Linked DNA regions of Xenopus tropicalis. The protein of the gene in region 1 purifies or fractionates together with the protein of each later gene. This does not show direct contact. Links are inferred from orthologs where the notes say so. Each region holds a gene or a part of one and is shown on either strand. Other genes may lie near its edges.

Evidence for each region. The genes of interacting proteins can lie anywhere in the genome.
Region 2: the proteins of ndufs5 (region 1) and ndufaf4 purify together in Homo sapiens (co-immunoprecipitation; 3 studies listed by BioGRID and IntAct, with this or other methods). This does not show direct contact. The link is inferred for Xenopus tropicalis from reciprocal best matches to the Homo sapiens genes NDUFS5 and NDUFAF4.

Annotation. Positions count from the first base shown.
Region 1 is NC_030678.2:90,459,303-90,464,311, forward strand, and holds ndufs5 (NADH dehydrogenase [ubiquinone] iron-sulfur protein 5), read left to right. Parts: upstream 1-2,542; 5' UTR 2,543-2,544; coding exon of another isoform or gene 2,545-2,546; coding exon 2,547-2,762; intron 2,763-3,272; coding exon 3,273-3,371; 3' UTR 3,372-3,506; downstream 3,507-5,009. UniProt on the Homo sapiens protein: Accessory subunit of the mitochondrial membrane respiratory chain NADH dehydrogenase (Complex I), that is believed not to be involved in catalysis. Complex I functions in the transfer of electrons from NADH to the respiratory chain.
Region 2 is NC_030681.2:88,490,477-88,496,976, reverse strand, and holds the start of ndufaf4 (NADH dehydrogenase [ubiquinone] 1 alpha subcomplex assembly factor 4), read left to right. Parts: upstream 1-2,559; 5' UTR 2,560-2,567; coding exon 2,568-2,703; intron 2,704-5,535; coding exon 5,536-5,633; intron 5,634-6,500. UniProt on the Homo sapiens protein: Involved in the assembly of mitochondrial NADH:ubiquinone oxidoreductase complex (complex I). May be involved in cell proliferation and survival of hormone-dependent tumor cells. May be a regulator of breast tumor cell invasion.

The sequences.
Region 1 (5,009 bases):
TGGGTACAAAATGAGATAGTGAGGAGTGCAGCAACATCTAAGAAGTTCTGAACTGAAAGTGAAAGTAACTGTCTGCCCCACCCCTATGCCTAACAGTGTTCGCCAACCAGTGGCTTGTGAGTAACATGTTGCTCCCCAACCCCTTGGATGTCGCTCCCAGTGGCCTCAAAGCAGTTGCTAGTTTTTGGATTCCTGGCTTTTGGGCAGGTTTTGGTTGCATAGAAACCATGTGTACTGCCAAACAGAGCCTCATGTAGGCTGCCAGTCCACATAGGAGCAGCCAAATTGCTAATCAGAGCCCCTATTTTTAACCCCAGGAACATTTTTAATGCTTGTGTTGCTCCCCAACTCTATTTACATTTGAATGTGGCTCACAGGTAAAAAAGGTTGGGGATCCCTGGCCTAAGCCATGGAGACTGGGCAGGCAATGATTGACAGTTATGATTTTTAATTGCTTTTATAATGGGTATGGGTGTGTTAATAAAAAGATGAGTTTGGGTTTTGATAGGGGCTTTTATTATACAGCTTTTTATGCCTGGGTGACAGGTCCACTTTAAAGAGCGCTGGCAATGCAAGAGGCACACTCAGAGGGTGCCAGTATTTAGCATATTGTACCGCAGCTGCAGAATACCACAAGGAGCAGAAGCTGCCAATATGTGTTCCCTGCATAGTGACACTACCAGGAGGTGGCAGAATGGTGGATAGCAGTTATAGTAGGGCAAGACAGTGATTGCCCTTTAATTGAAGTAATACTCCTCCACAATTGATTTTTGGCTGAGTAGGGCCATGTTTAGGAAAGTTCTACTTTAAAGTAAAAAAGGTGTTCAGTAATGTCTGTGTTGCCCATTACTTTGTATTATCTAAAGCTGTCATTTCAATGATACAAAAACCTAAATGTAGTGCATAGTCACACCGAAGCAGAACTGCAAAAATCCCATTTAATCCCTGAATTATTTTATTATTTATTGATTTATAAAACTGCACTAGTTTAGAAAATATATCATATTATAAACAAACAGTTATGTTGGCTGTCACATCATTTACAAAACCCCATAAACAATAAAAAAAAATAAACAAAAAAAAAATCAGTGAAACAAGGCTTGGTTATTGTATAATGGCATTCCTGTGACTCCTTGGTGGAGCGGTGTGGACAGTGAAGCACGTTGGTTTGAAAGTATGGTTGTGATTTGCAGCAAGTGATGGAGGTGAATGCTGTATGATTAGTTAAACAGAGTCGCAAGAATACAGGCATCTCAATGTCTTTACATGCATCGCAGTGGATTAATGTTTCCCAGGTCAAGCACAGTCGCATAATGCTCATTTGAGAGATGGAGAGATGCACGCAGCCCTGGTTGATCTGTGCTTTGATAATAGTCTGCAAATGACTGTTGTTGCTGGTAATGTAATAAGTCTACAGGGGCTACAAGCAAACTAAAGGTTGTCCACTAGCAAACTATTAGACTGTCACTACATACTAAGCTTGCAGGTTATGCAGATGCTTTTTCTTTTTAACTGAATTTGCATTCTATTCAACTGCTTATATTAAGTAATATACCCAATAACCAAGCCTTCCTTCACAAATGAATTGTCTCCTACATTATATATTTATATGTACAATACATGTTTCTAATATTTATTTTTGTTGATGGGTTTTTGTAATATACAAGATATTTGTGTGTATGATATTGTGCAGTTTAAATAAATGATTAAAGAGACACTTAGGGGCTGATTTACTAATCCACGAACCGTCCGAATGCGTTTTTTTCGTAATGATCGGTATTTTGCGATTTTTTCGTAAATTGACGCGACTTTTTCGTAGCCATTACGACTGTTTCGCAAAATGTCGCAACTTTTAGATGCATGATGATCTGTTTTTATTAGTGTTGAATGTAACTCTATTGCGTTGCCCAACATGCTGCTGTTGGGGAAAGACAGGGGTTTGTTTATACAGAGGGCTTTTCAGTGGACTTCTGATTTGTTTTGAAAACAGAAAATGAGTGTGCTTGTTATTACCTGTCCATTCTTTTGTTGTGTTATAGTTGGAACATCAGTACTGACTTGCACACCAGTGCTGTATATTCTGCTTTACATCAGTTCATATAGTCAGCATGCAGTTGGACCCTGGGAGTTGACTTTCTCTGGGTAAATTCCAGGATCTTGTTACTGATAGTTGAATTTACAGTACATCAGCTGGCCTTATTGTACCTGCTTCACGGAAAGTTTTGTAAAACATTTTTACCAGCAACTAGAAACTAGAAATTCTTTAGCAACATTTAAGGAACACCAAGAAGAGCTAGCCAGCAACATGAAGAAGCATTTTTTTTTAGCTGACATTTGCTTTCATGAAATTAGTCACAAGTCTTAGTTATGTATGCAAAGGTATAGCCATATATGATATTTCACTAACACTGTAGAGAAGATGCAGTGTGTCTGGCTCTGGAAGGGGAAAGGGTGTAACAACAGGTAAACAAATCTGTTATTCTGGGCAAGAAATAGTTGGTATTCATTACAAATTTGCTAATTCCAGCTGATCTTTCCCTATAGGCATGCCGTTTATTGACGTCCAGAGTAAACTTGGAATCAACATAGATAAATGGATGTTACTGCAGAGCTCACAGCAACCATATCGCTGGGTTTCTTCATGCCAGGCATTTGAGAAAGAGTGGGTGGAATGCTCCCATGGAATTGGACAGATCCGAGCACGAAAGGAATGCAGGTTGGAATATGAAGACTTCTATGAGTGCATGAGCAGAAACAAATTGGTGAGTAGGTGTTTATTATACTGTTTGAGTTGTTGAGCTTGTGTGTCTGTAGTATCCATATCCAGTATGCTGATTAAGGTTAGATGAAAGATAATGTTAATGCTTTCACATAATTGTAGTGTGGAGATTAGCGCTAAGCCAGCAGTGAGGTAAAGCTCACTTTTGGCTCCCATACTTCACTTTCCCAAAAGATGTTAAGAGTGTTTAAGAGCAAAATAATTTTCCTGGGCAGAATTTCTAAGATAATAAATCTTTCACAAGATGTACAAGTTATATGCGCCAAACAAATACATGAAGTCTCCAAAATGTTCAGAATAAAACAGCAGAACTGGATAGTGAAGTATATATTTTTAATAAAAAATAAAATCCCAAATGGGTATACTCCCAAACATAATATGACAGATAGTGTTGTATAAATAATCACTCAGAATCCAAGCAGAAGTTCCAAATTACCCAAGAGTGTCCCTGGCCTTTAAAAAGCCTTCTTACTTTATTTTGTTACTCTTACAGAGACAGAGATTGCAGGCAATCCAAGAACAAAAGAAGAAGCTGGAGAAAGAAGGAAAATATAAGGCACCAGATTTCAGCAAAGATGACAACAGTCCTTAATCCGTAAAAAAGCCATCAATTTTTGTTCATTACAGCACCAACAAGTTACACAGCGCTTTAAAGCAATTACTCACTCTATGTTGTGAATCCCAAAACTTGCATTACATTTTGAAATTATTAAATTGATCCTTACTGGTCCATGTGTTGTTTGAACTATTTCAGCATGTGGATGGGGAATTTTCAGTACTTTCTATCTCACTATTTTCTGTGTTCAATGCAGTTTTGATGCTGTCCCATGGGAAACATGAAATCGGGGTTCTACTGTAATTAATTTTGTATGAAATAGCATTTCTGCCTATAGAGGCCAACTTAAATTTGAGAGACAAAATTAACACTGGTACATTGTGTTTTTTGGTATTAGGCTGAATGCATACTACACAATGTTAATTTTATTCTTAATATGACGAACCAAAAAAACTAAATTTGAATTTCCCTTGCAACATTAAATACAGGTGAACATAGCTGCGTAGTTAGATAGATCTGGTGGGATTATCTATTCATATTTGATCAAAATACCCCATTTTATACTGATTTCTGGCCATGTATGTTCTTCAGCTGTTGATGAACTATCCAGTGTAAGAAATAATGGGACGGATTTAGGGTGTAAAATGAAACCTCCACTAAAGCCATTGGGGAAATCTAATTGAATTAGACAGTATCTAGTAGAATTAAGTCTAAAACAACTGGACTTTTCTGAGTTTTCTTGAGAACGTTTCACCACTTATCCAAGTGGCTTCTTCAGTTCAAACTGAAAAAGCCATTCGGGTGAGTGGTAAAAGAAAAAAGTCAGATGTTAGACTTAATTCCACTAGATACTGTATATCATGACCTGGATGAATCTTCATAGACTAATTGACTTAGGCAGAAAGTTTTTTGAACCAGGCCTGTCCTTTACTATACATTTTGAAGCTGGCTGGGTTATGTGGATGCACAGTATCTATACTAACTTAGAAATACAGAATCTAGTAATAAGGGTAGATTTGTGCATAAGAAGTAGCAGTGTGACATTTCTACAAACTCTATACAGCCCAGAAGGATCATATAGTATTTGGTTGTCCTGGTGGGTGCAGTGGCAGATGTCATGCGTTGAAACTATAGCTTTTTGTGCATCATTGTTAAAAAATCGATTTCACCTCACATCCATTTCAGTTTTTTTGCATACTGGTATTGCTGGGAATCTTTTGTTGAGAACCTTATCAGTGAATTTCTTTTGAAAAGATACAGAACAGCCAATTCTAAATAATTAGGGCATTATACTGTATGTTCTTTTTATTGTTAGTTTTACAAATAGGGCTTGTGTTGAACATACTTTGTACAAGCAATAAATAAGGCCATACAGTCTTATCACAAAAGAATAGCAGTCCTGCTTGTAGGTGGCTTATATAACAGGTTTCAGTTTTGCTTCCTGGGAAACAATAAAATCTAAAATACTAATCTAGGGAATGTGGCCAAAAGTATTCCGACACTACATTTAAAGTTAACATATATAATAATTAAGAATGTACCAGTGAATTATACTCTTTAAGATATAGAAGGATTGTGCTTAAAAAAAAAAGTTGTGTTTTGGACTGATTTATTGAAAAATTCCACCAAAACCCCACTAGTCCCGCCCATCTGTTCCACTTCATGCTGGCTGAA
Region 2 (6,500 bases), on another chromosome or scaffold:
ACTTTTTTCTGACGGGTCCCAGCTTCCCCATTCATCGTCTTCTCTGTGATGTCATGCCTCCGCCCTCTTCAATGCAACGTCATCACCGGCCCCTCCTATAAATGATGTCATGCCTGTGCCTTCCTCCATCTTTCTTACGGGCTACATAATTATTGCTCTGTTATCCGCCTTGGTCCCATCCCCAAAGCTCTACTACTTCACTTTTCCAACATTACACACGTTTATAAGCACTTTTTTTTTTTCTTATCAGATTACACAATGTTGGTTGTACAATGGGTGAAAATAGAAAATAAGCAGATATATTGCAGTACAATAATGCAAGGCATGGGTAGAAGTCTTTGCAAGCAGAACTAAGTTCTTGCAGTGGATATGTTCAAAATTATCAAAATAGAAGATAGTAACAGTAAGAAATAAGTGAAGGTACACATAGAGAATGCAAAAGCTCAATCTTCATAAGTTCCCAAGGCGCCCAGATTTTGAGAAAGTGGGGAGTGTAATTACATATCCTAGCAATTCCAGCCTCAAATACCTTATTTGCTTCCACCCTTCATTTAATTTCAGCTAAGGTAGGGGGGTCGCAGCACTTTATTCTATATCACTATTCCAGCGTAGATTTTAGCTATTTGGAATTCCTTGTTCCCTGCTTCAAATATATATTTAACTTATCGGGATCCAGGCTTCGATACTACCCGCAGTCAATGGTATCCAGGCTCTTTTCAGCGATAAGTGGCAGCGAGGCTTAAAAGCCTATTATGTAAGTTGTGTGTGTCTTCGGCATAAATGTATTGAAATCAATACCTTTTAATAAAGCAATCCCTATATAACATATAATGCTCATACAGTGCAGCTAGCGAATAGAGCATTTTCTAACAAAAGGAGACAGTATCCCGATTAAAAGCAGACAGATCTCTTTGCTAGCAGCACTGTATGATCATTACACATCGAACAAGCGCTGCTTTAACATATATAGATTTCAATGCGTTTAAAAAGAGCTTGGATAACATTAAGTGCGAGCGGTACTGGAGGCTTTAGCGCAGTGCTGTCCAACTTCTGTTGTACCGAGGGCCGGAATTTTTCCGACCTACGTGGTGGAGGGCCGATAATGGAAGCCAGTTTTGACTACTCCCCTTTTTGAAACCGCACCCACTTGAAACCACACCCATGTTATCACATGACCATACCCATATTAATGGTTGTAGTACAGCAAAAACTTGCCATACTCTGCCTGCCCTACCCTGCCTGTGTGTGCCATACTCTGCCTTCCCTACCCTGCCTGTGTGTGCCATACTCTGCCTTCCCTACCCTGCCTGTGTGCCATACTTGGCTGGTTTGTGCCATACTTGGCCTGTGTGTGCCATACTCTGCCTGCCCTACCCTGCCTGTGTGTGCCATACTCTGCCTTCCCTACCCTGCCTGCATGTGCCATACTTTCACTGTGTTTGCCATTCTTGGCTGGTTTGTGCCATACTTGGCCTGTGTGTGCCATACTCTGCCTTCCCTACCCTGCCTGTGTGTGCCATACTCTGCCTTCCCTACCCTGCCTGTGTGTGCCATACTCTGCCTTCCCTACCCTGCCTGCGTGTGCCATACTCTGCTTGCCCTATGATGCCTGTGTATATGGCACACACAGGCAGCCTACAGTGACACAATGCTGGCATTGCTCCTACAGTCTGCACAATAACTATATATTAAAAAACTTTTTAATTGCAGTACCACCTCAGTATATGTTCTTTTTGTAGTGTGCAGGGATTATTTGTGGGTTTCTACTGCTCCTGAGGTGTGAACAGGGGAACAATGGGGTGATTACAGCCTGAGCCTGAGGTGTGAACACTGCAGGGGGTGAACAATGCAGAGATTAAAAGGTGTGAACAACACAGGGGATTACATATTTAAACAATACAGCCTGATTACAGCCTGAATCTGAGGTGAGAACCATGCAGGGGGCCAGTTAATCACAGTACTGATACCATTTAAAGCTTACACAAGAGTAAGCCATCAAAGCAGCCAGACAGGTGGGGGGCCACACAGAGGGGGGTCGCGGGCCGCCAGTTGGACAGCACTGCTTTAGCGGTTGGATGGTATTTAAGGAAGGGAATCGGGAATAACACATCCTTCCACCTTGCAAGGAAGGGGTGGTGGGTCGCATAAGAAAGCAAGGTGGATGGAGGACAAAGACTGTGCAGCCGTTAGAATGCAGGCAAGCCGGGTAGATGTCACATGGAGGCTGTTCAATGGAGGAACGCCCAGAGATGACTTGGATAAACGGGGAAGCAGGAATCTGTCAGGACAAACTAAGAGCAGATTGCACAACTTAAATGGCAGGCAGCACAGAGGAGTTCCGATGGGGCAGGGGGGGACCTGTCAGCACATAGCAACAGAAGCCCGACAAGGATTTGGATATTGGAGATTTTAAAGGGGAGGAGAGGGCAGGACGCTCGCCCAACCTTGGTACTGGCACCCAGCCCCCTCTGGCTCCTTACGTGCTTCAAGCAGGATATCGGCACGTCAGGCCCCTTGGCTCTCGTCCTTATACAGAGCGCGGCTAGCCGGGCACGCTATGCACAGGCATGGGGCTATCATTAACCCGAGCCATGCGGAACTTTAACCTTGAAAATCGGGCTCATAGGCTTATTGGCAAGGAGAAGCCGAGGCCGGCGCCCACCCACCCCAAAACAGAGGATGCAGTGAGGGCAACCAAAACACGTGAGTATGGGTGGGAGACTTGTACACACAGCGATATTATATTTGCATCCTATGTACCAGTTATGTAGCTTGTGAACTTTTGTTTTTCGTTATACACAGAAAAATACTTTATAAAATACACATAGTACATATTCTTAAATGTTTACTAGAGCGACTGCAGCTAAGATCAGTTCACTCCGTATGACAAGGTTAGCTTGTGTGTGAGAAAGGCATGCTGGGAACAAAAGTTCTGCACTTCTCATTGGTTAGAGGTCATGACCTATGGGTTAGGTCTCTAATGTGGAACCCTGAAGGGTTGTGCTACTGCCTCATTTATTTTTATTAGTAGTATCGCTTTCCTGTGTTACATTTATAGTTGGATAAATACTAGTCATTGCACAAAGAATCCTTGCATTTGTTGCCTGGCATGGCAGATAGATGTTCTAATTCTGCAGTGTACATTTATTAGAACCAAAAAGTTATTCTGGACTCTTAAAAGCAAGTGCAGCCAGGTACCACAGTCTAAATTATTATGAATCAAAGTAGTCTGTGATTCAACCAGTGCATTCCAGCTCAGTAAACTGACAAATTGGTAGAACAACTCTGATCCCTGAAAATACTTTGAAAAACATTTGCTATGCATTTTGGTGCATTCAGTTGTCTGAGCTTCAGCTGTCAGCAATAGTGATATAAAAGGTGCTGTTGTAGGTATTTCATTACTGGTGCTAGTTTTTTTCAGATAGGGCTACGAAGGGTGTCCTTGTTACCATCAGGGTTGCTAGGTCTAATTTTCAAAACCAGCCAAAATCTGTCACAAAGCTGTTTCAAAAGCAGTTTCAAAATAGCACAATTTACCCAGTCAAATAAAAAAAATATTTATATGTGAAAAATATGCCTTCACTTTGGCCTTACAAGTCTGGAATTGCTACCTGTGCCCACCTTTCTGATACTAGGATATCTGATATTGCTATGCCCTTATGTGCAGGGTACATGCAGGTTATTGTAGTTTTACTTCAACATACGCTGCCAGCTTCAGCTTACAATAAGCCATCCAAGTATCCAGGGAATGGAAGAATTTATTAGTAACAGCACTCTTAAATATAAATCACTAATAAAAGAGGTAGGTCATGCATACCCACCAACACGTAATGGGTGTATTAATTGTCCACCCCCCCCATACCATGCTAAGCACTTCATGGCATACAGTGGGCCCCGAAGCATTTCATGAAAGACGCAGTTGTAGCCTTAACTGCATTCCCCAAACCAGCCATACACCCCTCGCTCTCAGTCTCCTGGCAGCAATGCTTTATATAATGTGGGAGAATGTCATTAGAGCCTCAGTTTGCAAAACTCTGAAATCAAAGACATCAACAGACAATCCAGAACTGTGGGCTGGATGATAAAAAATCAGGGATGTTCCACATAAAGCGTTACAGTATGGAGGTAATGCAGCAAAAGTGGATTCACAGTATGGCATTAACCCTCAGACACGATATATGGCTGTGTTTAAGTTTAACTCTCGGCAACCCCAGGAGGTATAATTTTAGTGGTCAACTGCAGAATCAAATGTTAACCCCCCACATCACATTACAAAGTAGCAGCACATACCAGATGCATCAATGAGAAGTTTGTAATGCAGTCAGGTTAGAACTGAAAGGCTAGAACTGCTGCAAAGAGTAGATAAGTTCTTGCTACACCAGTCAGTCCTGTGCTGAGTATTGTAGTTTTGCATTGACCTTGGCAGTAGGTAAAATGTTAAACAAAAACTACATTACCCTACATACACTGGGGGGGATGGGCTAGGTACACTGCCAGGCTTGTACTTTGGAAACCCTCAACAGCTTAAAGGAGAAAGAAAGGTAAAAACTAAGTAAGCTTTATCAGAAAGGTCTATGTAAATACAGCCATAAGCACTCACAGAAATGCTGCGCTGACTTCTCTGTGAAAAGATTTCTGTAATTCATGTGCCAGAGACATGCAGCTTTCTGCTCTCTGCTTTCTCCTGCTCCCCCCTCCCTCAAGAATGCTAAGAACTCACTCACCCCCCATAGGAATGTGGATCTGAGCCAATCAGCAGGAAGCTGACTCATAGTCTAACTAACTGAGCATGTTCACTTGGTCTGGGTGTCTGTGCAGGAGTGAGGCATTATGGGAACTTTCTTTACACAGCTCAGTGTTTTTCCTTCCGGTTTGGCTTCTGATCATCTGAACAGGTGAAATATGGGGAGACTTAAGGGCACTATTGAGACAACTGAATGTATGCCTGCAGCTTGAGATTAACTCTTTATTAGCCTTTCCTTCTCCTTTTAAAAATAATTTGGTAGTTAAACCAGCAACTCTGCTTACCACTGTATCCTGAAGCTACAGTTTATGACAGAAGTATGTAACTTTTATAGTTTGGGTTTTCATTTGGCTAGGAAAGAGCAGTGCTGTGCATAATCCAATTGGTTACAGATTCCGTCAATCTGTTTTAGGTATTGGGTAGTTTTATTAGAGATAAGATACATTTTCAAAAACTATTAAAGAAAATAAATAAAGACCAGTTGAAAGGTTGTTAAGAAGGTTGCAATATGTTTAGTATGTCTATAACATACTAAAAGTTTACCTTTTAAAGGAAACTGACACGCACAGGCACTTTTTAATCGTGCTAGTAGTGTGTTTGTGTATGTGTTTTCTTTACATTGTATACAATTGTATAGCTTGTGAAATATAGCACATAGTTCAGAATGCATGTCTATTGTAAGATTAGCAGTTTATCCTCTTTAAACAATCTAATGTAACAAATGTGATTATTTATTGCTGATTTTCTTGTATAATATTTAGGGTGGATTTTTTTTTTTTCTTTTTAATTAGATCATCCGGACATTGAGGATAAAATTCGTAACAAAGATAATCTGCTTCTGACAAGACTGAAAGAAGTTTATGTTGACTCCTATGACCCATCTTCTGGGGTAAAGTTATTTAAGCCTTTATTTTTCTCTAGCCAACTTTTTTGAATTTTATTTTGTGTATTTCAAAAACAAATGCCCTTCCAATATACACTTCATCCTTCGGCATGTGCATTTATGATGCATTTTTATATCAGCCTTCCACACATTTTGTTGATTGTAATGCTATGCTGTATGATTTTGTATCCCCCAAACCAAGGGTGCTACATGGTTTCTATAGATACTCCCCAATTTGGTATTCTCCCCTTTCTTGGGCTTTTGCATGCAGAGTTGGCACAAGTTTGTAAATAGCCTGCTAAACACTATATTGGGCCCTGTAACTAAGACCACAATTTTTTTTTACAGGAGGACAGGTCTAAAACTTGTGGAGGAAGTTGGCTTCTAGGTAGTCACATCTTAAACAGTAATTTGGTGTAGAGATTTGTCCTGTATAATTATATCCTTTTGTAGAAATGAGGGAATTATAGCTCTTGTCTATAGCCTCTTCACGTTGGTCTTGGTTTAGGTCAGGAATTTGATCAGTCCATTGGTGGTGTGTGTCATTAAAGTGTTTGCTTATACTTTCTTTTATATTTTGTGTAAACTCTAGATATCAGTTTAGCAAATGTGGGGGAGTAAAAGGTCTACTCTAGTCCCAAGGAAGCCAGGGTGGTAATGAAAGAGTAGTAAATTGCACTTTCACTATATCTTCAGTTCAGGCATGCCTTCCATTTGGTTGGCTGTTTTGTAGGTCTTTATAAGTGGGAAAATTGTGCGTTTGGAGTAAGGTCAATGTTTTTTTTTTTAATGCTGATCCTTACCATATGAAGTATCACTATAGATGAGGTGAGAGATAAAGTAAAAATGGCCTAGGAGAGAACTAAACCCTAA